Linked DNA regions of Oryzias latipes. The protein of the gene in region 1 binds, or shares a complex with, the protein of each later gene. Links are inferred from orthologs where the notes say so. Each region holds a gene or a part of one and is shown in the gene's direction. Other genes may lie near its edges.

What was found.
Region 2: nme5 (region 1) and ropporin-1-like protein share a complex: the UniProt entries of both Homo sapiens proteins name them as parts of the axonemal radial spoke complex. The link is inferred for Oryzias latipes from reciprocal best matches to the Homo sapiens genes NME5 and ROPN1L.
Region 3: nme5 (region 1) and DPY30 domain-containing protein 1 share a complex: the UniProt entries of both Homo sapiens proteins name them as parts of the axonemal radial spoke complex. The link is inferred for Oryzias latipes from reciprocal best matches to the Homo sapiens genes NME5 and DYDC1.
Region 4: nme5 (region 1) and lrrc23 share a complex: the UniProt entries of both Homo sapiens proteins name them as parts of the axonemal radial spoke complex. The link is inferred for Oryzias latipes from reciprocal best matches to the Homo sapiens genes NME5 and LRRC23.

Annotation. Positions count from the first base shown.
Region 1 is NC_019868.2:17,074,995-17,080,963, forward strand, and holds nme5 (nucleoside diphosphate kinase homolog 5), read left to right. Parts: upstream 1-2,541; 5' UTR 2,542-2,663; coding exon 2,664-2,792; intron 2,793-3,556; coding exon 3,557-3,762; intron 3,763-4,668; coding exon 4,669-4,769; intron 4,770-4,963; coding exon 4,964-5,082; intron 5,083-5,171; coding exon 5,172-5,231; 3' UTR 5,232-5,327; downstream 5,328-5,969. Other genes in the region: rack1 (receptor of activated protein C kinase 1), read left to right, coding at 1-60, 329-424, 634-744, 992-1,132, 1,337-1,447, 1,663-1,728. UniProt on the Homo sapiens protein: Functions as part of axonemal radial spoke complexes that play an important part in the motility of sperm and cilia. Does not seem to have nucleoside diphosphate kinase (NDPK) activity.
Region 2 is NC_019878.2:13,553,873-13,558,739, reverse strand, and holds part of ropporin-1-like protein, read left to right. Parts: intron 1-2,310; coding exon 2,311-2,434; intron 2,435-2,869; coding exon 2,870-3,031; intron 3,032-3,479; coding exon 3,480-3,655; intron 3,656-4,867. UniProt on the Homo sapiens protein: Functions as part of axonemal radial spoke complexes that play an important part in the motility of sperm and cilia. Important for male fertility.
Region 3 is NC_019877.2:16,025,087-16,031,131, reverse strand, and holds DPY30 domain-containing protein 1, read left to right. Parts: upstream 1-1,934; 5' UTR 1,935-2,002; exon of another isoform or gene 2,003-2,062; intron 2,063-2,121; 5' UTR 2,122-2,145; coding exon 2,146-2,295; intron 2,296-2,871; coding exon 2,872-2,991; intron 2,992-4,750; coding exon 4,751-4,945; intron 4,946-5,052; coding exon 5,053-5,064; 3' UTR 5,065-5,184; downstream 5,185-6,045. UniProt on the Homo sapiens protein: Functions as part of axonemal radial spoke complexes that play an important part in the motility of sperm and cilia. Plays a crucial role during acrosome biogenesis.
Region 4 is NC_019865.2:13,825,251-13,831,391, forward strand, and holds lrrc23 (leucine-rich repeat-containing protein 23), read left to right. Parts: upstream 1-2,329; 5' UTR 2,330-2,594; coding exon 2,595-2,669; intron 2,670-2,833; coding exon 2,834-2,943; intron 2,944-3,025; coding exon 3,026-3,146; intron 3,147-3,357; coding exon 3,358-3,499; intron 3,500-3,680; coding exon 3,681-3,811; intron 3,812-3,967; coding exon 3,968-4,104; intron 4,105-4,188; coding exon 4,189-4,393; intron 4,394-4,486; coding exon 4,487-4,519; 3' UTR 4,520-4,661; downstream 4,662-6,141. Other genes in the region: RNA-binding protein 10, read left to right, coding at 1-160, 348-539, 645-701, 845-1,036, 1,214-1,261, 1,355-1,398, 1,491-1,581; transketolase, read left to right, coding at 5,350-5,456. UniProt on the Homo sapiens protein: Essential for sperm motility and male fertility. Plays an important role in the proper assembly of the third radial spoke (RS3) head and the bridge structure between RS2 and RS3 in the sperm flagella.

The DNA of each region.
Region 1 (5,969 bases):
TCTCGGGACAAGACCATCAAGCTGTGGAACACTCTCGGCGTTTGCAAGTACACCATTCAGGTGAGCTGCCGGATAATGCTGCCTCTTTGTAGATCTTATGACGTCCTTATCCGTGCTGCAGGATTTTATTGACTTTGAACTCCTGTGAAGAGTTGACATGACGGTCAGATCATGAAGTTAAGCAAATTAAGTCGCTAACCTTCAAAAAGAAAGGCTTTACTGATAATCTCGTGCTTGTAAATTTTGTAAATTTATTTTAAAAAATCACATAAGCATTGACCTGTAATCAAATAGATTCCTGTAAAACCGTATGTGTTTGATTTTGCAGGATGAAGGCCATACTGAGTGGGTGTCTTGTGTTCGCTTTTCTCCAAACAGCAGCAACCCCATTATTGTCTCCTGCGGCTGGGACAAGATGGTCAAGGTTTGTACTTCCGCTTCCCTTCATTTGCCATTAGATTGATTTAAAAACAATAGAAAAATATGCTCCATGATTTTAAAGAAGTTTGCATGTATTACCTGACCTGGTTTCTGATGAGAAGCTTTGTGGATGAGAGCACGTCTCCACAGTTTTATCTGGTCTTTTCATGTCAGTGTAAACTTGACGGTCACTGTCTGCTGCTGTTTCTATAGGTGTGGAACCTGGCGAACTGCAAGCTGAAGACTAACCACATCGGCCACACTGGCTACCTGAACACGGTGACCGTATCTCCTGACGGCTCCTTGTGTGCATCCGGTGGAAAGGTAAGCTGGTTCAGTTGGAGAACTCGACTCGTATACTTGTGAAGATTTTTAGTGATGGCACACAAAGGCCGACCTCCAGGTGTCAACTGTGATGGATAAATAACACATCATTCTGTTGGTAAACAATTGATGACAAAAGAGGCTGTTTCTGAGTGACACTGAGTCGTAAAGCCACGCTAAATGAAGATCCAGAACAGAGCTGCTGTGTGGTCATGGCTTATTTTCTTGTTAATGTTCTCTCAATCAGGACGGCCAGGCTATGCTTTGGGATCTGAACGAGGGCAAGCACCTGTACACCCTGGACAGCGGCGATGTCATCAATGCCCTTTGCTTCAGCCCCAACCGCTACTGGCTTTGTGCCGCCACTGGCCCTAGCATCAAGATCTGGGTGAGAGCTCCTACGTGATGATGTGGAACTACTGCTGAATGTGGTTTGATGGGCCTTGATGAAACTTGAAAATGCTAACTGTATTGCTTGATGATAACAGAGGCTGTTTCTGAGCTCCAGACTAATTAGCTTCAGTCATTTCTGTACATTGCCTGTTATTTTGAGTTGTTTTAGTCATACGGTAAATGTTTATTCTGTGTGCAGGATCTGGAAGGGAAAATCATTGTGGATGAGCTGAGACAGGAAGTGATCAGCACAAACAGCAAAGCCGAGCCCCCACAGTGCACCTCTCTGGCATGGTCTGCTGATGGACAGGTATTCAGCTCCTCTTGACATAAGTACAAGATGGGGCTGTTGCTAAAGCTAGTCTGTCCTTCTAACCCCCAGTGATTATACCCATTCACTATTAGCTCTGATTTTGACTGCTGACAGTCCTGCAAATATGAGGGGAAAGGACAAAAATCAAGGCTATAATCAATGTATTTAATGGTTTTTGTGATCAGTAACTTCCATCCTTCATTTGCTTGCAGACCCTGTTTGCTGGTTACACCGATAACCTGATCAGAGTGTGGCAGGTCACCATTGGAACCCGATAAGAATCCATCGCTGCATCGACTTTAAATAAAAAGACTGTTTGAAAAGTTGTGTGTTGGTCTTAACTTTAAATATTTTACTTTCACGCAGATTGAGTTTGTCATTTTAGAAGACTGCTCATAATCAAAGTTTTACTTATAATATTGATGCAAGATCATTTAAAAAGCTAGTTAACAAATTTAAGTTTGAAATGTTGAGGTCTACATTGAATCATGAATAAAGTTAATTGTAGGAGTGAAACATTTGAATTGATTTATATTCCTATGATCCATCCAGATTGATGCATGTGGCAAGTTAATCAAAACACCCCAGACCATTATAAAATCGTTTAGAAATGAAATTAATCAATACTGGAAACTGCCTTTTGGATTGAAGCATGGGTTGCAGCAAAAACTGATCATTCCACTCCAATGTGCAGAAATACTTAATTTTGCAAAGATGTGACCATCCAGTGTGGTAGAATGTTCTCTTTGGATTAGGTTGATGTGGAAAAACAGTGGGCTCAACTTTATGAAACTAAAATGTGAATGGATTTGACATTAATTCTTGTTTACTAGTTTTTTTGTACACAATTTAAACTTATCTTGTAGGAAATACAAGGTACCAGGTATTTATCCGAGTCACACTGAAGTTTTGGCTAAAGATCTCCTGGATCCATTTTAGGTCAGTGAATCGGATCATTCAAACTGAATCGATATGAATCAGCAACCATAAATATCGAATTATTGCTAAAATCTATCATTACACCCTTAGTTTTCATTCTTAAAGGCTTCTCACGTGGCAAGTAGGAAATAAAAGAAGTTTGTCCCTCCTCAGCTCCCGTACTTGTGAAATGGTAGCGTAGCAACCAAAACAGCGCAGGGGTATTGAATTGGTGGGACGAGGAGGACTTCTTGTCGTTCCTATAAAAATCAGTTTTACTTTGCGTGAGACAGAGATGGAACTTACGCATTTAGGCGATCAAATTCGTGTAGAACGAACACTGGCGATCATAAAGCCAGATATCTATGAAAAAGCCGAGAAGATCGAAGGTTTCATCCTTCAGTCGGGCCTCACAATCCTGCAGGTTAGTAAATCACTGATGCGCAAACCTACACGTCTGAGAACTGAGACTATTTACGTTTAGAAGGAGTAGTTTTCTGTGTGACCAACGTTTAATTAACGCAGTGGACACATGTCTACTGCCATGTGAAGTTTATTAACAATAAAAATAAAGGTTTTTTTTGTTGTTGCTAGAAGTATAAATAAAATGCTGTGTAGAAACTGTTTATTTTTCCAAAATGTAACAAGAACTCACACACAGTGGCCAAATGAGCAGTGAGATCATTTGGCCACTTGAGGGCGCTAATCCAAACAATTCGGTGAGCGAGCTAAAGTCATTTCTGACACAATTAGCCCTTGTGCTATCCTAGGCTCTTAAACATTGGGAGTTGGGTCATCTAGACCCCACAATACAGTGCGCTGAACCTTTTTTCTTCAATGATTTGCAATCTTCACTGGTGTCCATGAAATGTAGGATGGCACAAGGGTTAGAGATGCAGAAGACAAGAAGTTTTTTTTAAGGATGGTACAAATAAAATTTCTCAGTCACGTGAAGGAACAGTAATGTATTAACCTACAAGATCTTCTAGCTTTCAGAGCAAAAAAAGGTTAGTGGTTTCATTATAACTGCAGGTAAACGTCAGTTTTGAACAGCCTACTCTAGCTGTTAATTCATGTAGGATGTTTGAAAATCATGAGGACATACGTGTTTGAAAAAAACCTTTCTGTCAAGTTTAAATAGTCATCTCTCCTGCCATGGTTCTGCTGTCCGTTCTCCAATCCTGTTAGAAGCGAAGGCTGCAGCTGAGTCAAGAGCAGTGCAGTGACTTCTACTCAGACTGCAGCGGAAAACCTTTCTTTCCGAGCTTGATGGCTTACATGAGCTCCGGCCCGATCGTTGCCATGGTGCTGGCTTGTGAGGATGCTGTCACACGCTGGAAGTCCATCATTGGTCCTGCCAGCATCACAAACGCCAAAGAAAGTCAGCCAGAGTGGTCTGTTTCATGTTTATTTGTGTTTATACCGTAACAGAGGAGTACATTTGTATTTATCAGTGTAGATTTTTCATTTCATTACATTCATAATAGAATAAATTTTACTATGACATGTCAATGAAGAATATCTGGATCAGAGGTCTGCAACCTGAGGTTCCAGAGCTACATGCAGCTCTATTATCCCTCAATTGTGGCTCTTTGGCTTTCAAGAAAAAAAGCATACGATTGTAATATATCATGCTTTTGTGGTTTTGGTTCTTTTTTTTCTCTCGTTAAGTTGTCAGTTATGCTTAGATTTTTATCTCAGATGCCCATACTGATGCAGATAAAGCACATTTTCCAATCTTCTGCTGTACCACAGTGTCTAGTTGCTGTTCAGAAGCAAAGTATTCAAAGTAAATAATTGTGTTTACATGTATGGATCTAGAAATAATGATGTCATTAATATATTTGATAGTATTGTAAAAGGTAAAAAAGCAAGACTGTGCACCAAAGACATATTTGTAAAACATGCCATGTTTGATTTGCAATTTTATTAGCCCTTTTAATTCTGTAAATCTGCTAACTTTAAATCTGCTTTAGCAGATGTTTGTATTTTATTTTGAAAATGAAATTGTTGTGCAGTTCTTAAAAGTAAAATAGATGTGATTAAACAATTGATTAAAACTATGTCATATATATTTTTCACTTTAATTCAGTTATTGTCGATGCTATAAAGCTCCATGTTGTGAATGAATGGCCACAAAAGCATGAATAAGGAATTTTTCCAAACTTGTGAAGTGGGACTTTGCGGCTTCTACTGTGTTTTTCTCAGTAGAAAATTAGACCAAGTGACTCTTGTAGCTTAAAAGGTTGCAGACCCCTGATCTAGATCTTTAGTCTGATGATATGGCTGATTTTCTCCAGTCTTAGAGCGAAATATGGAACTTCTGACCTGAAAAATGCTCTTCACGGCAGTGAGTCCTTTCAAGAAGCTGTGAGGGAGATTAAATTCATGTTCCCAAACTGTAAGCTGTTGTTTCTTTTTTACACATTTTGTTGTCTATAGGGCTACTACAACAAATACAAAAACATGTAAACTTGTTTTAATCCTTCACTCACAACTAGACTGAATTTCTTTTCTACCAATTGTCACCATTCTCTTCGTATTTAATGTATAATTTTATATGACTTAATAGATGTTTCCTGTTTCTCTCTGTAGCTTTCATTGAGCCTTCCCCTTCAAAGCATGAAACCAAGGAATACCTGAGCAGGTGTCTGAAGCCGGTTTTGCTTCGTGGACTCACAGAGCTTTGTAAAGAAAAGCCCCTCAATCCTGTTGTTAGTTTACTCTATGCAGATTTTTCTTTTTATTGATTAGTAGCATTTTCCTGTTATTTAATTATTTATTTATTTGTTTTTATTTACAGATTTGGCTTGCTGACTGGCTGCTGCAAAACAATCCGAATCAGCCTCAAACATATTTCTAACTCTTGGATGATATCAAAATAAAAGACTCAGGAAGTTCCAGATGTATTCAATTTATGTACCACTTTCTATGAATAAACACACAACTTTCAGCTGTGTTTGTGCATTAAGTTTGTTTTGTGACATTATCAACTAAGTTTTGTTCTAAATTGTATTCGAGTGTTTTTTCTAACATACTGAAAGCTTTTATATTTTTTAAGAATTGACTAGATGAATGTGCTGCATTTGAGTTGCGTCGAAACTTGTGAAAACGGAAGATTTTCGATCGTTAATCTCGCTACGGAAGCGTCATTTTTTAAGTAGAAAAAACACTTGATGTTTACAACATTGTCGCCGTCGTATAAAGTGTTCATCAAATTACAATTACAACAGGCATAGAAAAATGTAAACAACCTTAATAAAGTTAAGTAAAAAAAAAACAATAATACAGAAAAATACAAACTTAAATAAAAAAGATTAAGATAAAATTAAAGAAAGGGGATACATGGGCGTTGTAATGATCATTCATTTAACTGATATCAGTGAACGCCGCACTTCTTTTTTTAAACTCCTTCCCCTCGTCTGCGGGGCGGAAACGAGTGGTGTTAAAAAAATAGAGGAGAGAGATTAACTCTGGTGTGATAGGTTGATTTGTGATTGACAGTCGGCCTTGTCCAATCAGAAAGCTTCTTTGGAAAAATGTCAATTTTTTCCCCCTGCCGGTTCCAGAAAACCAACCATGAGTTTCTCGTCGCGTGGGA
Region 2 (4,867 bases), on another chromosome or scaffold:
TGCTGTCTCTCCTAGGCACTTCCATACCTCCACAGGTACGTCATCAGGACCAACGGCCTTTCCGCTCTTCATCCTTTTCAGAGCCTTCCTAACCTCATCCTTTTCAATCTCTGCTACTTCCTGCTCCACAACAACCACATCTTCCTCCCTTCTTTCCCTGTCATTTTCCACGTTCATCAGCTCCTCAAAATACTCCTTCCATCTTTTTTGTACACTCTCCTGAGTTGTTAGCACCTTTCCATCTCTGTCCTTAATCACCCTTATCTGTTGCACGTCCTTCCCATCTCTGTCTCTCTGTCTGGCTAGCCTGTACAAGTCCTTCTCTCCTTCCTTTGTGTCTAACCTGTCATATAGCTCATCGTAAGCCTTCTGTTTGGCCTTTGCCACCTCTCTCTTCACTCTACGCTGCGCTTCCTTGTACTCCTGTCTACCTTCCTCAGTCCTTTCTACATCCCACTTCCTTTTAGCCAACCTCTTCCTCTGGACGCATTCCTGTACTTCCTCATTCCACCACCAAGTCTCTTTACCGTCTTTCCTCTTTCCAGATGACACACCTAGCACCTTCCTACCTGTTTCCCTGATAATTTCTGCTGTAGTTTCCCAGTCATCTGGAAGCTCATCCTGACCACCCAGGACCTGTCTCAACTTCTGCCTAAATTCCTCACAAGTTTCTTCATTCTGTAGCTTCCACCACTTGGTCTTCTTTTCTGTTTTCCCTCTCTTCTTCTTCCTGACCTCCAGAGTCATTTTACACACCACCATGCGGTGCTGTCTGGCTACACTCTCTCCTACCACCACTTTGCAGTCGTTAACCTCTCTCAAATGACCTCGTCTACATAGGATGTAGTCCACCTGAGTACTCCTACCTCCACTTCTGTATGTCACTCTATGTTCCTCTCTCTTCTGGAAGTAAGTGTTGACTACAGCCATTTCCATCCTCTTCGCAAAGTCCACCACCATCTGTCCCTCCAGATTCCTTTCCTTCACACCAAACCTGCCCATCACCTCCTCATCACCTCTGTTGCCCTCACCAACATGTCCATTAAAGTCTGCTCCAATAACAACTCTCTCTCCTCTGGGGATACTCTCTATGACCTCATCCAACTCACTCCAGAATCTCTCCTTCACTTCTAACTCACAGCCAACCTGTGGCGCATACCCACTGACTACATTCACCATCACCCCTTCAATTTCTAACTTTAGGCTCATCATCCTGTCTGAGACTCTTTTCACCTCTAGAACACTGTTTACAAACTCCCCCTTCAGAATCACTCCTACCCCGTTTCTCTTCCTATCAACACCATGATAGAACAGTTTGTATCCTCCTCCAATACTACGTGCCTTGCTGCCCTTCCACCTTGTCTCCTGCACACACAGTACATCTACCTTCCTTCTCTCCATCATGTCTGCCAGCTCTCTGCCTTTCCCTGTCATTGTGCCAACGTTAAGAGTCCCTATTCTCAAACCTATGTTCCTGCCTTTTCCCTTCTCTCTCTGGCCCCGGACCCTTCTGCCTCCCCTCTTTCTTCGACCAACAGTAGTCAAATTTCCACCGACACCCTGTAGGTTAACAGCATCGGTGGCGGTCGTTGTTAACCCGGGCCTCGACCGATCCGGTATGTCTAAAGTGTTGTGGATGATTCGCATGGTTATTTTGGCAATTTTTACGCCGGATGCCCTTCCTGACGCAACCCTCTCTATTTATCCGGGCTTGGGACCGGCACAGAGGCAACTGGCTTGCAACCCCTGCGGCTAGTGCAGCGTGAGTTTCTATGGTTGCAAAACACCAGATAAACTGCAAAAGCAATATTCTTGTTTAGTAAATATTTTCTTTTTTGAAATCACACAGCATGTTACCACTACCACAGAGCTAATACATCAGTTATGTACGTTAGATTCAATGCAAAGTTTCCTGTAAAACAATTAGAGCTCGGCTCGAACTGGATCATTGATCATCATAATTTCCAGGCATTACATCAAATCTATGACAGAGTATTAGAGAAAGTAAAAGTTAGACGATGAAAATGGCCCAAGTCCACATCTTAAACTAAATGGCAGATCCTTAATAGATCTATGCATACATAAATCTTACAATATTGTAATGCACTAATATTTCTACACATCATCAGTTGATGAAAGTCACATCGTTAGTCATCCATAGGTTCTGGAGTTGACTTAGCAGTTTTTACGACAAGTGAAACAGATGAATAATCATCATTTTCAAGGCTGGTTTAACGTGTCATTGAATGTTTTTTTTTATTTTTTATTGCAGCATCTTTTATATTAATGTGATTTTTTTTTTAAATCCAGGTACTTCAATGATTTGTCTAAAGGAGAGTGTCTTCCTGTCAAGGACAGACTAGAGATTGATGCCACCACCCAGAAAATGGACCCCAGCTTGACTCCAGGTCTACTAAAAACCCTACACAAGCAGGTATTTTTCAACAGCAGGCAGGCAGTAGTGATCAAGGGTTTATCATTGCACATATTTTTGTCATTGTTTAAGAAAGGGAATCATTTGTTTGTATTTGTTTTTGTGTGTTTTTTGTAGATTTATTCTAATTACTCAGATTTTTCAAATTTGGCCATTTAAACCGTTTAACTTTCATTTTATTTTCCTTATTTATTCTATACCTTGATTTGCTAGATATTGTCAACACCAAAAGATGTGTACTGATTTAAACGTTTTTTGAGAAATGCCTCCATTTATGTCGGAAGTTTTTAATGGTACACACTGGAAAAAAAGTGCAAACTACATTCAAAAAAGAAAATTTCTAAAATCGCAAAAAGATCTCAAATCCTTTTGATTGCAAATGTGACAAGTAACATAATCTGCTGATCCCAGTTAACTCTTTCCTTTCTTTTTTAGCTGTCCTCCAGGAAAACATGTAGCAAGGAGGAACTGCAGGCCAAATGGAAGGGCTTGTGTCTTTCACCCAATCAGTTGGATACTCTGTTGTCCTTGGGCGGCTTTGATTCAGAAATCGACTGGATTGAGTTTTTCGCTCTGGGCTGCAGTGCTCTAGGAGGGGTAAGGTGCTACAAAAATATACACTCAGTTGCACTTTATTTGACTATGATTTCAAACCCACAGTGAAAAACCTTAAAACTTTATTTTATTTTATTTTATCTAGAGTAGATTCATTTCAGACATGTCATCTTGTAAATCCTTAAATTTGGACTGATTGAAGTTCGACAATTATATTGATCACTATAGAAAAAAAACCTGGTGATTTAAAAAAAATAGATTCTTAATGTTTAAGTGAATGCTGCCAAACGTTAACAATTGCAGGGTGGTGCTGTAACCACAGGGGGGCAGTGTTGCTCTGCATCCATTAGGGGAAGCTTTGCACATATATGTATGTGTGTTTTTTTGAATGAATCTTTGGCATGATTTTACATGAATGCTCATCCCATGTAACTATTACTATTAAGAATCTAAAGTTCTTGACATTATTTGTCGTTCTGCACTTTTCCAGACCCTCTTAAGCTCCATGAAGTTTGCCTGTGAGATTCTGACAAATGATGAGGAGGGTGGTGCTGCAAGGATCCCATTTGATACCTTTGTCCAAATCTATACTTTCTTGGCTCACCTAGATGGAGATGTACTACAGGAACACATTGACATCTTCCTCAACAGTTTGAAGCCACAGGTGTAGGTATTTTGTTCGTGTGTAAAAGCTGTTTCCCCAGTCGGGACTGCAATAGGCAGATTGGATTTAGCATTGTATAAAACCAACAGCACATATTTCTAAAACATAAACATGCTTTTTTCATTAAATTTAGCTTCCATCTGAACTTACACTGTCCCTATAAAACGCATTTTGAGGAATACTTAATAATCTGTTATAGGAATGTGCATTAGTTCACTCCAAAATCACCACAACAAAAGAATAATGACTTTGAACCAAACATTCTAGGACATAGTTTCTGCAGAGTGGCAGGAGTTCAGTAGAAATTTGACTCTGAGATAAACCTGTCTCGTTCCCAGATAACTCGGCGCTGTCCAGCCGTACAGTTTTGGGCCAGATGTCAGCTCGGATGAGGAAAACAAAGACGTACATGAATCTAGTCGTTTACAAGTGGATCCATGGGAACGGAGCGGGGCGGGGGGTCTTGAGGCCCAGCCTGGGTATTTTTAAAAATACAACCTTTTTCAAAGGATATTTTTCCGTCTGCTCCTGATGTCACAACAATTGAATAAACTAATATTCCGAAATCCAATTTGTGAAAGAAAAATGCAAGGTTTTTCTTCGGATTGGGTCGTTAAGGAGGAAAATAGGCAGAAATAATCCAACTCAGATTACAGGAATAGTCAAGACAGTGATGTTCACATTAATTTTTAAATTGAGTTCTAGCTTTTGCTCAGGTTTCTTTTTCTTTCTTTGCAAAGACAAATGATGCTAAAATTCATCTAGCCAGTTATCAGACAGTTCACAGGTTTACATAGATTCCCTTAGTCGTAAATGTTGTTGTGATTTTCACTGTTGCAATCCTTTTACAGATAGGTGGAGCATTTGCTTCCATGCATTGGTATCTCAGCCCAAGCGCAGCATTCAGGTTTTCAACTTCTATACCAGGAGTAGGTTGGGACAGAACACAGAAAGTGATAGAGCACAGAAGGAAACAATAAGGAAGCAAATGACAGTGTTCGATTAATAAATGTGCCCACCATCGCTCCTTCAAACCATGTTGTTTCATTTCCAGCAATTGGTCCCATTAATTGTTGGTCTTCTTATTCATCACTGTCCGACTGAACCAGCTGATAGTTTGGTTCAGGGTGAAATCTTTTTAATGAACAAAAAGAGAAGCACAAAGCTGCCTTTCCACAGACTGTCAGATGAAGTATGTGTCTGCGTTTAATTTC
Region 3 (6,045 bases), on another chromosome or scaffold:
CGTTCCATAAAAGAGAAGGTTAAAATAAAGACAGTTGGACCACACTCCAGCACCGCATGAGGGAGGCTGCCTCCAGGATCGCCTCGGCCCCACTGCACCGGTGGGTAGCCACGACGACCACCACCAAGGGAGATCTCTAATCCAAACCCTCACCAGGAGTACCTGCTCAGGGCCCAAATTCACACAAACACACCACAACCCAAACAGTGATTAAAAGAAAATACAAAACAGAAGAGGTGCAACTGAGCAGGACACCACTAATTTGTAGGCCGGAAATGGGGGGGGGGGGGAAATCCCCCTTACACAATACTACACATGGCACCCACCAGCTACCGTAAGGATAAAGGGAGGAGGCAGCCACCTCCAGCCAGGTCCAACCACCAAGAGACTAAAATGAGCAAACAGTTTAAAAAAATGGATAAGAGCAAGGGTGTCAAGCTTGATTTAAACATTAAAAACACTAAGCAAAACAGCAGTGGCAACTCTGCTGGAAAAAGAAAAATAAGTTAGTTCTCCCTGGGACAAATACATGTTTACAAACCCTTATGTTACCGCTCATGCCCCAGGGTCAGAACTCATGCCACCACCTGTTAATATAAATAGAATTTAAAATGTTGCAAACTCAAATGCTTAAAAAACTTTTGTAAAAGGACTCAAATGATTAAGCTTTAGCTTAAAAAAAAAAAAAAAAAAAAAAAAAAAAAAAAAAAAGCCCACATGTCAAGCTCACCCACCAAGGCCAAACCAGCATCTAGGTGGAACTCACAGCTGCTATTTATCAGCCTCATGAGCCAATCACAGCTCAACAGACAGGTGCTGGCCATGAATATTAACCTATGGAACACCACGAGGGACAAACTACCACCCACAGCCCTGTCTGTCATATAACGATAAAACAGGGATAAAGAGGGAGTTTCCAACTGAGGTCTGTTTCTAACAGTTTGTTTAAAACAAGGTTTTTTTTTATAATGAGACTGCCACTCTGTAAATAACAGAACCAAAAAAAAATCCAAACAATTGCAAAAATCCCAGTGCAAGAAATTGTAATGTAATATGGAGGGGAAAAAGATGAAAAATATATATAAGACATTCTAGACATGTATCTTTCTCAGTTATTATAAGTGGCAATTTCTCCCATTTTTCTACTTAAACATATTACCAAATGGCCCACTTTTTAAGGACAGAACAGTTTATCATAACAGTAGATAAAGCCATTGACTGTACAATAGGACATTATGTTTTAATATATCTATTATGCAGTCAGTAAGACTAACAGGGTCTGCGCCACCTAGTGGTAAAAATTTCGTAAAAATGCACAAATCACATTTTTCTTTGAGTGTGAATATAGAATCTTCCAACAATTTTATTTCTGCTTTTATTAAATAACTATGTAGTAGCATCTGCACCATTTAGATTAAGATAACTATTAGTTTTATGAATTCCTTTTTTAACATAGTCTTTTGAATTATTCCTCCCCCAATTTCTGACATTCTGTGACTGATGTCTCTTTCTGCTTCATAACACATTGAAGCAAAACTTGTAAAGATGCAAAAGAATTTTAATATTGTTTTATTGAGTTTAACTACTGGAAAGCAATTTAAAACACATCTCAAAATGATCACTTTCTCGTCAAAATATTTAATCTGTTTCACAAATACTATTTTGTGCGTCTGTGTATGGGTGTGTGTATGAATGACAATGAGGTTTTTTCACAAATATTTCTTTTTGTCTGTAGTTTTTTTTGGGGGTGTTATTAATATAATTGAGGATTATTATTATTATTATTATTATTATTATTATTATTATTATTATTATTATTATAAAAATCATCATCACCATCATCATATTTATAGTAGTAATAACAATGCCTGAAACAACCAATGGTTGCATTATAGAAATGACATCGAATACAAAGCGGAACTAAAAAACGGTTGGGAGACTTTAAACTGTGTGGGACCGTTACCACGGAGATGCAACCGTCCGCATAAAACAGTAAAATACGGTAATTTCCGTGTTAATTTTGGCTAATTTGTGCAGGTTTTATCCATAAAATCGCTTTCAGGTCATTTTTGTTCGTCATTATTGCCTTAATAGCTCCGAGCCTCCATATTTGCTCTGTAGATAAACAATCAGAAAACGTGTAGCATGATGGATTCGGAGTATCTTAATAAACATCTGGGGAAATGTTTGGCTGAAGGACTTGCTGAAGTGGTTGAACGGAAACCCGTGGACCCTATCCTTTATTTGGCCCACTGGCTGTACAAGTATAACTCAAATACGCTGTACGAGAAGAAGGTGAGTCGTTTTGTTGTTTTCACCAGCAGGGGGCACTAAAGGATGCAAACACAAAAGTTGTTGATTTACAGTGTTTTTAAGCATTACGTGGTTTACTTTTCCGTGTTTTCCATTTACAAAACGCTATAAAAACATAAAGTGATTGCATATATCATAATTTTTTTGAAACGTTGTCTTGCAAATGCAGTGCTGAATTAGAAACTATTAGAAAAGTGTGTAAACACACCAACCATAGTGTCATTTTTTTTTTAAAATGATGGATCTAGATTTTGCACTCCAGCTGCTTCTGATTATACCCATGTTGTTGCATGCCGTCAAACAGGTTTTAAGAGGATAACAGTGTTAGAGCACGTAAACTCATTATGCTGCAGGATGTAAAATAAGTAGGGCCTCAACAACAAAGACTCACCTTTTACCTTTAACACAGAAACTGTCTGTACCTCTACTGACACACAGCTGAGCCCTACTTAAAACAAAATGAAAGTTTAAACATTTTATGGTTTATATAAGATGTATACTTGTAAACTTTAGACTTGTAAGCTTAGATTTGTTCCTGTATCACCTTTGTATTTGCAGAAGAAGGCAAGTCTGGCTCTGCTGGATCAAGATCAGGAAAAAAGCAGCCAAGAAGCATCACATCAGGAAAATCTCACAGAAGAGGAGCAGATCAGTAATGCATCAAAAGGCACAGAGAAAGTACTTTCTCACTTTCTATTGCTAACTTAAAAGTATTTGATTTTAAACATCCTGAATGCATAGCTGACATTTTTAAAGACCTACTCTAACCATCTTTTGATCTATTTTCACAGAATTCCCAGTGGTCTTGTAATTCAAATTCAACTTTACTTGTGCACCACTTTTTCGACTACAAAGCCTCTCAAAGTGCTTTCCATAATAAAATAGATAATTGTAAGATAAAAAACAGTAGTTAAAATAGCAAACATAGTAAAAATAATAATGATAAAATAAAATTAACAACATTAAAACACATACAGACCCAAAACATACACATCCCACAGGTACAATCAAAATGAAGCGCATCAATTGCTGATAAAATTTATAAAATCTAATGAAAACATGTTGACAAGTAAAAACTACATAAAGGCTTTACTAAAAAAATGAGTTTTAATTTTTTTCTTAAAAACCTCCACAGTGGATGAAGCCCTCACCTGCCTGAGGAGACGTTCCACATGGAAGGCCCACAGTACTGAAATCAGGCCTCGTCGTGGGTTTTTGTTCTGACTTTTGGGACCACCAGCACACCTCCACCTGTGGATCTAGGAGGGTCATAAACTAAAAGTAAATCTAATAAAAAAATGAGGGGCCAACTCCATTTAAACTTTTAAAAACAAATGAAAAGAACTTTAGAATCAATCCTAAAGCTGACTGGGACCCAGTGGAAAGATTTCAAAATATTTCTTTATTTTTTTTCTTTAGCACTGCAATAGCCTGGTTTGTTTAGTCACAGGAACAATTCAAGCTGGCCATCTCACCATTTGCAGGAAACGTTCCCAGCTAGGTTAATTCACAGCTTTGCTGGGCTCAGGTGAACGTCGCGTCTGCGACTATGATTGTGCCGTATCAATCAATTATGAAGATTTTAGTCAAAAATCTAAAATCTGTGGTTTTCCGGGACATAGTTTCTACAGAGCAGTAGTAGTTCATCAGAAATATGCCTCTGATTCGTGGGTGGTTTGACCCCTTCCCCCCTTACCGGTACCAGTATTTTGAAACCCTCTCCCGTTAGCTTACAGCCCCTCACACCCACCTAACATGACTGGTGCAACAGAAATGGTGAGCAATACCGGAGCTGTTCAGATGTACAGTTTTGAACCACATGCCAGCTTGGACGAAGAAAACGCCGACGTACCTGGATACATAACAAATATGATCTTTTTCAAACTGCATTTTTTTGTTTGCTCCCAATTAACAACAATTTGAAAAAAGAGGTACTTAAAAATACAATTTAGAGCTTAACTTTCTTTTCATATTATGTCCGCCATCATGACATCTTTTGAATATCAGGCCATTGTTTTTAACAACATGTTAAAAACACAGTTTTCATCAGAGTGGGTCTTTAAAGGCCTAAAACTTTAACCCCCCTCTGAGGAGCCACAGATTAGCTCAGACACTAGAGACAGACGCTGAGACAGACAGCACTATTCAATAGTTAAGCATCAGGAGGCAAATGGGCAGCGCATGAGGGAGGCTGCTGATAAAATCGACTCCAGATGAGTCACGCACACTGCAGAGACAGAATTAAGGAATCTACTCCAGCGTTACAGGCAGGATCTGCACATTGATTCTTAAAAAATGCTGTATAATACAAGTTTGAAATACATTGCAGTCTGCTTTAATAAAACAAATGCTTTTAATAGTTCTTATGTTGAGCTAAAAGTCCTAAAACTCTTCAAAAAATGTGTTTTTTAAATGTAATTTCTTTACTTTTTCTTAGACTGATGATGTGGAAACTGAGAAACTTGAAGATGTCATCCGGTCCTCGTCAGTGCTCCAGAGTGAAGATGCTCAACCCGATGAGACAATTCACCATGAAAAAAAAGAGGAAGACATAACTGACCGCAACCATGAAGAAAAGGAGGAAGAGATGAGAGAAATCAAAGCAAGTCCATCTCCTATCGGTCTAGAAAAGGTAAGTATTTGTTGTTTTTCTCAAATATTTGGTACATCAAAATGTGTGTTCAAAAAGTACAGAAAGGAGCAAACGTTTGCTGGTATTTACTGGACACTTTATTGCAGGAGGCTGCATGATGGAAATTTTGGACCAGTAAGTCATTGGAAGGAACCAGAAAGTCATCAGAAGACTGCCGGAATATGACAGCAATGACGGATCACAAGATAAATAAATAAAAAGTGCTATTTTTTTCCTGATATCTTTGTTTAACATTTTGATATTTTATTTTATTGGAGTAAATTAAAAATGAGTTAATATTGTTTTTGTTATTTAGATCGTATAAAAAATTGCCACCTCACTGTTTCACAATAAGCATGAAAGGACAAATATTGATTTTTGTAATTTTATTGTCTTTTATGGCTTGTTCAAGAAGTGTTCAAAACTTTTAATAAAGTCATTTTAAATTGAAAAAAAAGCTGTAGCTATTATTAGACTGCATATTTCAAAACTGCCCATCGCTCTGCCTTGTTTCCACATTTTACTTGTGTGTCACAATGAGACTGCTCTGTTACTGAGCTCAAAGTTCAGAAGCTACATCTATACTAAATCTGAGTTTAAAAATGAGTATGAAGGGAAGGCTTGTAGAGGAAAACAAATATTTATTTATTATTTCTCCATAAATATTTGTTTCCATGTATTTTATTCTGGCAAAGTTCCTGAATCTTCATCAACCTTTGACCATGAAAGTTAACCCTCCTAGATTTCCTGGCTTTGTTGTTGCCCTGCAGTTCAAAGGTCAGATGTCTGCGCAGATCAGGCGCAGCTGCATGTAATCTGGGTGTCTAATCAGCATTTCAGGCTGAAAGAGGGCTGGGCTTTGGGAAGGGAAAAGCAAACTGGTGACTAAAACCCTGCTGGAATTTAAATGCGTCTCCACTCCTGAGTTTGTGTGAGTGTGGAGTTGGGATGCAGTGAAGGAGCGCGTGCAGAGATCCAGAATGGCTTTGGGGATTGTTGGTGACGCTGTGGCCGCTGTCGGTGGCCTCATTGCTGGGGTTCTGAACTACATGACTGACATGTTTCTGTCAGCTCCCTTGAAAGCCACGCTCAACCATCTG
Region 4 (6,141 bases), on another chromosome or scaffold:
TCAGCAGTACATGTACTGGGATGGGGAGAAACACACCTACGTTCTTGCTGCTAACCAGTCAAACACTGAAAATGAGAATGCAGCTTCTGCAGAGTCACAGTCTTCCACCTCTGGAAGCAAGGAAAAGAAAGAAAAGCCAAAGAGCAAAACTGCTCAACAGGTACTGTACATTCAAGACCAGTCACAACTGTGGAGAAATGGAACTAGCTCGGAGATTTTACTCCTTTTTATATTCTATCTTCCCTTTACTTTTTAACGATCTATTTATGATATCGTCAATAAGATCACATACAAACTGACGTACACATCTTAGAAGATTTTGACGTATTTGTGGTCTGCATTTTTAGATTGCAAAAGATATGGAACGCTGGGCCAAAAGCCTCAATAGACAAAAGGAGAACATGCGATCTGGTTCTTCGTCTGCCGTTGGGTCCACTTCTCTCCCACCTGGATACACTCGGGCTCCAGGCCACAGTCGCTTGGATGATCAGAGGGAGTCTGCAAGTGCAGATGCAGGATACGCTGTACTAGAGAAAAAGGTGCACGAGGCCAACGTACACACTTGGCTTAAGGGGATATGTCTGTCACAATGCATTTGGACTTAAGACTGGATGGTTATTTACATTTTCTTTTTTGTCCTACAGGGGGCACTGTCAGAAAGGCCTCAAAGTTTTCTGGACCAACTGCGACAAAGCACAGAAGTAAGAGCAATGATGTAGAATATTTGCTAGTGTTTAATCATACTTTTTATAACGTCATTTTGTTTTTTACAGTTAAGAGATTCAATGTATTTGCTTTGCACTTCATCATCATCGTAAAGTCTTGATTTTGACTCTTTGTGTAGCAATCGCCTCCTCAACAGCACGGCCTGGTCCCAGCCTACAGCGCAGAAACTGACAGCGAAGAAGAAGGAGATAAAGAAGATAAGGAGGGAAAAATGACAGACTGGGTTAAACTTGCCTGTCTGCTATGTAGGAGGCAGTTTCCAAGCAAAGAGGCGCTCATAAGGCATCAGCAGCTCTCAGAACTGCATAAGGTACGTTTATTCCATTTTAATGCCAATAAAGATGTGAAACAAAAGATTTTAGACAGTCAACAAAAAGCGTTGGTCTGTTACACGTGTCTTCGTGTACTAAATGAGAAAAAGAAATTGACCAAAATCTTTATTTTCACGTTTGAACATTTTGTCCTGCGTCTGTATCTTTGTTTACAGCAAAATTTGGAGCAGAGAAAAAAACAATTGGATGCTGTAAGCAGAGAGGTTGGTCAGTTCATGTGCATGGATTGTACAACAATACATGCATTCAATATTGAGTGGTTTTATGCAGTTTCTACTTGTGTTTTGACATTGCAGAGACTTGAACCTCCAGATTCTAGGAAGCGAAAGTTTAACCCTCTGTAAGTCAGTGATGCTCAATACTTAATACAAATAATGTAACTTTTTTAAGGTGTGTTGCCTAATTTTTTATATCCTTTCCTTGTCTGTATAGTGAAGGCATCACCGGCATTAGTCTTGGAGCACGAATGTTGCAAGGAGGAGTGAAAAGAAGTCTTCTACTGCATAATACAGAAATAGAGTGACCTCTCACATGTAAATTTCCTGATCCAGAAAGGACAAGCTCACCTGCAAAACACTTCACTCTTCCCCATTACATAGACAGAGAAAAATATATTTTGGTCTGACGATACTAGAGTCTGAAGAACATAGCACCTCTTTGGACTGATCCTGTAGCAGTACATGTCAAGATATTGCACAAATTGCACCTTTTTGCTTGTTTTTTGTGTGATTTAGGATTTCCTCTTGCTTCAGTTTGTGTGAATTAAACATGTGAATTCAGAATCACTTACTTTCAGAAAAAGGAAAGTTCTACACAGGTCTAAATGTCATGAAATGAGAATTTTCAGTCACTGTACCATATAGTTTTATTTGTTTTTTAAGAATATGCTGTCATTTAATAAATGATGGGTCCCAGCATAAACTGTGTATATTTCAGAAGTTTTTACGGAAACACTTTTGTGTGTCTGTGTTGTTGTTTTTTTTTTTTTTTTTTTTTAATATGATCACTTACTTAATTGGTTGTGCAGAAAAAAAAACGTTCTTTTGCAGAAGTTGAGTATCTGCAAAAGTCGCTTTCTACAAACAATGTTTTCTTTTTTTGGTTACATATGAACATACTTTTTTTATTTCATATTTTTGGTAGTCGCAGTTGCTAAACTAACTTTTTAATTTCACTTACAAAAAATTAAATACTGCAAGTGTAAAATAGATTAAAAAAAATGTTACATTTTGACCAACGTCTACTTTTGTTTACTAGTATTTCACAATTTTTGTCATTAAGTTTGGCCCTACCCGAAGTTGGGGTTAGTTGTTGCTGTGGAGTTTCCATGGTAACGCTATTAGAATTTGGTATGTTCGGTGTAGCTCGTACCATCCATACCCAAATTAACCATAATCCTTGTTAAATATTATCGGAAAATAGAGCCTTTGAATTGCTCGTGTTTCCACTCATTTCCGCGTAAAACTGCACTATTGCTTATCGTCGTACCGAATGCTGGAAGCCTGTTGGCTAGCTTAAAGTCGGTTCAATCCCGCTATGGAGGAAGAAATTCTACTGTCGGACTTGGAAGATGAGGAGGAAACAACTAATGCGAAAGGAGAAGGCGATAAGGTACACAAAAATCCGTTAAAAAAAAAAAACACACATTGATTTTTACAGAAACTGAGGAAAAAAAAGTTCATTCGTAAACTACAGTAATGCATTGACAGCTACTGAAATGAATTTCAAAACTTCTGTTCATTAAAATAAAGCTTTTTTGTTTTGTTTTTTTAAAGGCTCAAGCACACACATTGACCAAAGACATAATAAAAGAGGGACTTTCATTATTGTGCAGGACAGTAGACAGACTTGGACATGCTTTTATTAAATTAAACCTCAATAACATGTAAGCAGACAAAACACATTTTAACTGGACTGACTAACCCAATCAGCTTCTAATGGATTTTTCTTTACTACCTACTTCACAGGAAATTAAATGATCTAGCTGCGATCAGCGGCTACATTCACATACGTTTATTGGATTTATCCAACAACAGCCTTACTGATCTTTCTCCTCTGGCCTCCCTAAAGCAGCTCCTGTGGCTGAAGGTAGCCTACTTTATTTAGATTTGTCTTGATCATTTCTGTGGCAGATTCATTCATTTGAAATGACATTAATTGCTGAATTGTTTCTAATTTCCTCTATGATTGAGAGGTAAAAGGATTTAGTGGTGAGCCTCTGGTTTTAAAATGGTCCTTCAAACAGCACCAATAGTTATAATGGGTTGTCTGTACATTCTTAATGATCGACAAACTGCAGGTTGACAAAAATGATGTGGCGAGCTTCCGAGGACAACCGTTTGCTGAGCTGATCTATCTGCAAAGGCTAAATATGGCAGCAAATCAGTTAAATGATGCCGATGGCCTGGTTGGGCCCGCCCTGGAGAGCCTCAATCTTACAGGTTATTGATTAATCTGTATTCCAAAATTTAAAATAATCTAATTTTTAAAATTATATATATATATATATATATTTTAAAATTATATTTACGATGTAAAATACTTTCTATCTCACATTTTTGGAAATATTAAACATTTAAAGCCTAGTATAGATTTTAAGTGACACAGTGACCTCTTTTTCAGGAAACAAAATTCAGTCGCTGCATTGTTTTCAAACTAGCTGCTTTGGAAATCTGCTTACTCTGGAGCTGAGAGGAAACCATTTGGAAACCACTGATGGCCTCAACCTTCCAAATCTGCAACGATTATATCTGGTACATAAAAGCTGTTATTTTATTAAAATGACTAATATCTGTGAAAGTTCTTATCACTAAAATTATGCTCTTCCAATACCGTACCACTATTCCTTACAACAATATATCAAAATATTGATTAGAATTGCTATTACCTTTTTTTCCCCTTTTTCATAGGCTGATAATGGGATCAAGCATCTTGAAGGTCTAGACAAGTTAGAGTCTCTCGCCATCCTTCATATTCGAGATAATAAATTAGAAACTCTAGAAGGCCTCAGTCCCAACATGAAGTGTCTTCAGTATCTAAATGTCAGGTATGTGTAAGAAGGTGAGAGACCCATTGTGGTACCTACAAAAATTCTAAGAGTTCATATTTTCTGTTTGTTTCCATCTTTTAGAGGCAATTTAATTGCAGAGGAAAAAGCTTTGCAAAGCATTGGCCTTGTGGCAAAAAGCCTGCAAGCATTGGTTCTTTCTGAGAACCCGCTGGTGGCAACAGCAGACTATCGCCCCAATGTGTTGACACTTTTACCGCAGCTGAAAAGACTCGACAAGGAGCCTGTGACACCTGCGGAGAGGGGTGACAATCAGATGAGAATCAGAGTAAATGCTTAATATTTTTGTGGTGTGATCAGATCACATATTCTGGCCTTTTTTTTTTTTTTTTTTAAAAAAAGGACATTTCTATCTTTTCAGGAACTCGAGGAAGAGGAAGTACCTGAGCCATAAGATTTCATAAGATCTTTGTGAGAGGAAGTGCTGGGCATAAAAAGCAGGTCTTTCAAGAGATGATGATCGTGATTGCACATCAAGTTTGATTTTAGAAAAGCTTTCTTTCCAAATTGTTACAATAAAAAAATTGCCTTGTGAAGTGTTTTTTTTTTTTTTTTGTCTTAACAAGAACAATCACATACACAACATGTAGTTGCAGGATTAAAGGTGGGGCTGGTTTATAATCCATGCATTGTCATACATTTTTCCCTGAGTAAGAATGAGAGGGCAAAATCTGACCGCACTTCCTAGTTGGCTGACGTCCACCTGCGACCTTAAAGGGACAGTAACATAAAAAAAACGTATGTGAAACATTATTAATGCATAACCTGCATGTTCTAATTAACTGTTTAATGGATGTCAGCTATATTATAATATATATGTTTAATTTGTTGCAGTTTTGACAGTTTTCAATAACATTTTCACGCTGCACCGTGATGCATTTGTGTACATATGGTATATCTGTCACCGGTCTTATTGTTATCTGTGGAATTTATTGAGATTTCCTAACATGAAATTTAACGATAAAACTTTAAATACGTCTTTGAAGATGAACAGTTAAGGAGTTAAGTAACAGCCTCTCAAATAAAGCGCGATTTGACGTAATAGGATTGCCTTTTTCTGCTCCCTCCCCTTCAGTCGTCCCCTCCCCTCCTCTCAGGCTCGCATTGGGGCAGCTAGCATCGGCGTGGAGTAGCACTGAACCCACGACACCCGAGACGCACTGCAGTTAAAACAACTCACATTAAATTCACTTTCATTAACGTCCCTTTCAAGTCCAAATAAACATGGCTAACTATCACAAGCCCGACGAGAAGACCCTGCAGGGGCTGAAAGACGTCGCTAACAAGCTACGGATCAACTCCATTAAGGCAACATGCGCCTCTAACTCTGGGTAAGTTTTTTTAAAATAATAATTCTGGAGTTTAATGAAGTATTGCGTTTGAAAGAAAAAGTGACTACCGAGTAAAGGCGTTTAACTGCGAGGGCCTGTTTGCACGTGCGGTGGATTAGTTTCACGCGGCGCAACTTCGCAGAAGCTAGCGTGAAGTTTCAATGAATGCAGTTTGTCTGCTTTTACTTGCCGTACATTTCAACTCAATGCAGCTAACATTTTTTTACTATGCAGACAATAAAAAACCTATAGAAGGCATGATACTGACATTTCGAGTCGCCATTGCTATTTATTAGCAAATAGATCACATGCTTGTGGTGAGTCCCGTGGTTAGTACAACACGGTAGATTCTACAGCTGTGATTATTTGTTTTTAAATTATTTTTTATTGTTCTAAAATGTATGTAATGTTCAATGTGTCAAGTTTAAAAACGAGCACTTGTGCCATTGTTTTATCTCCGACTTTAGCCTTATCGGGTTTTCCGATCAGCGTCAAAAACCAACTCAAACATCGTGTTTTCATAATAAACCACTTGAGTTTATAGATGGATCCAAGTCCAAACGGAAATCTTCATTTTATAGAAGTGCTTTTTTATGCCGGTTGTCCTTCAGAGCTTTCACGTGGATTTTGCTCGACTGCCTGTCGGCACGTTCAGAAATGAAAGTCCAGCCAGAAGACACGCTGC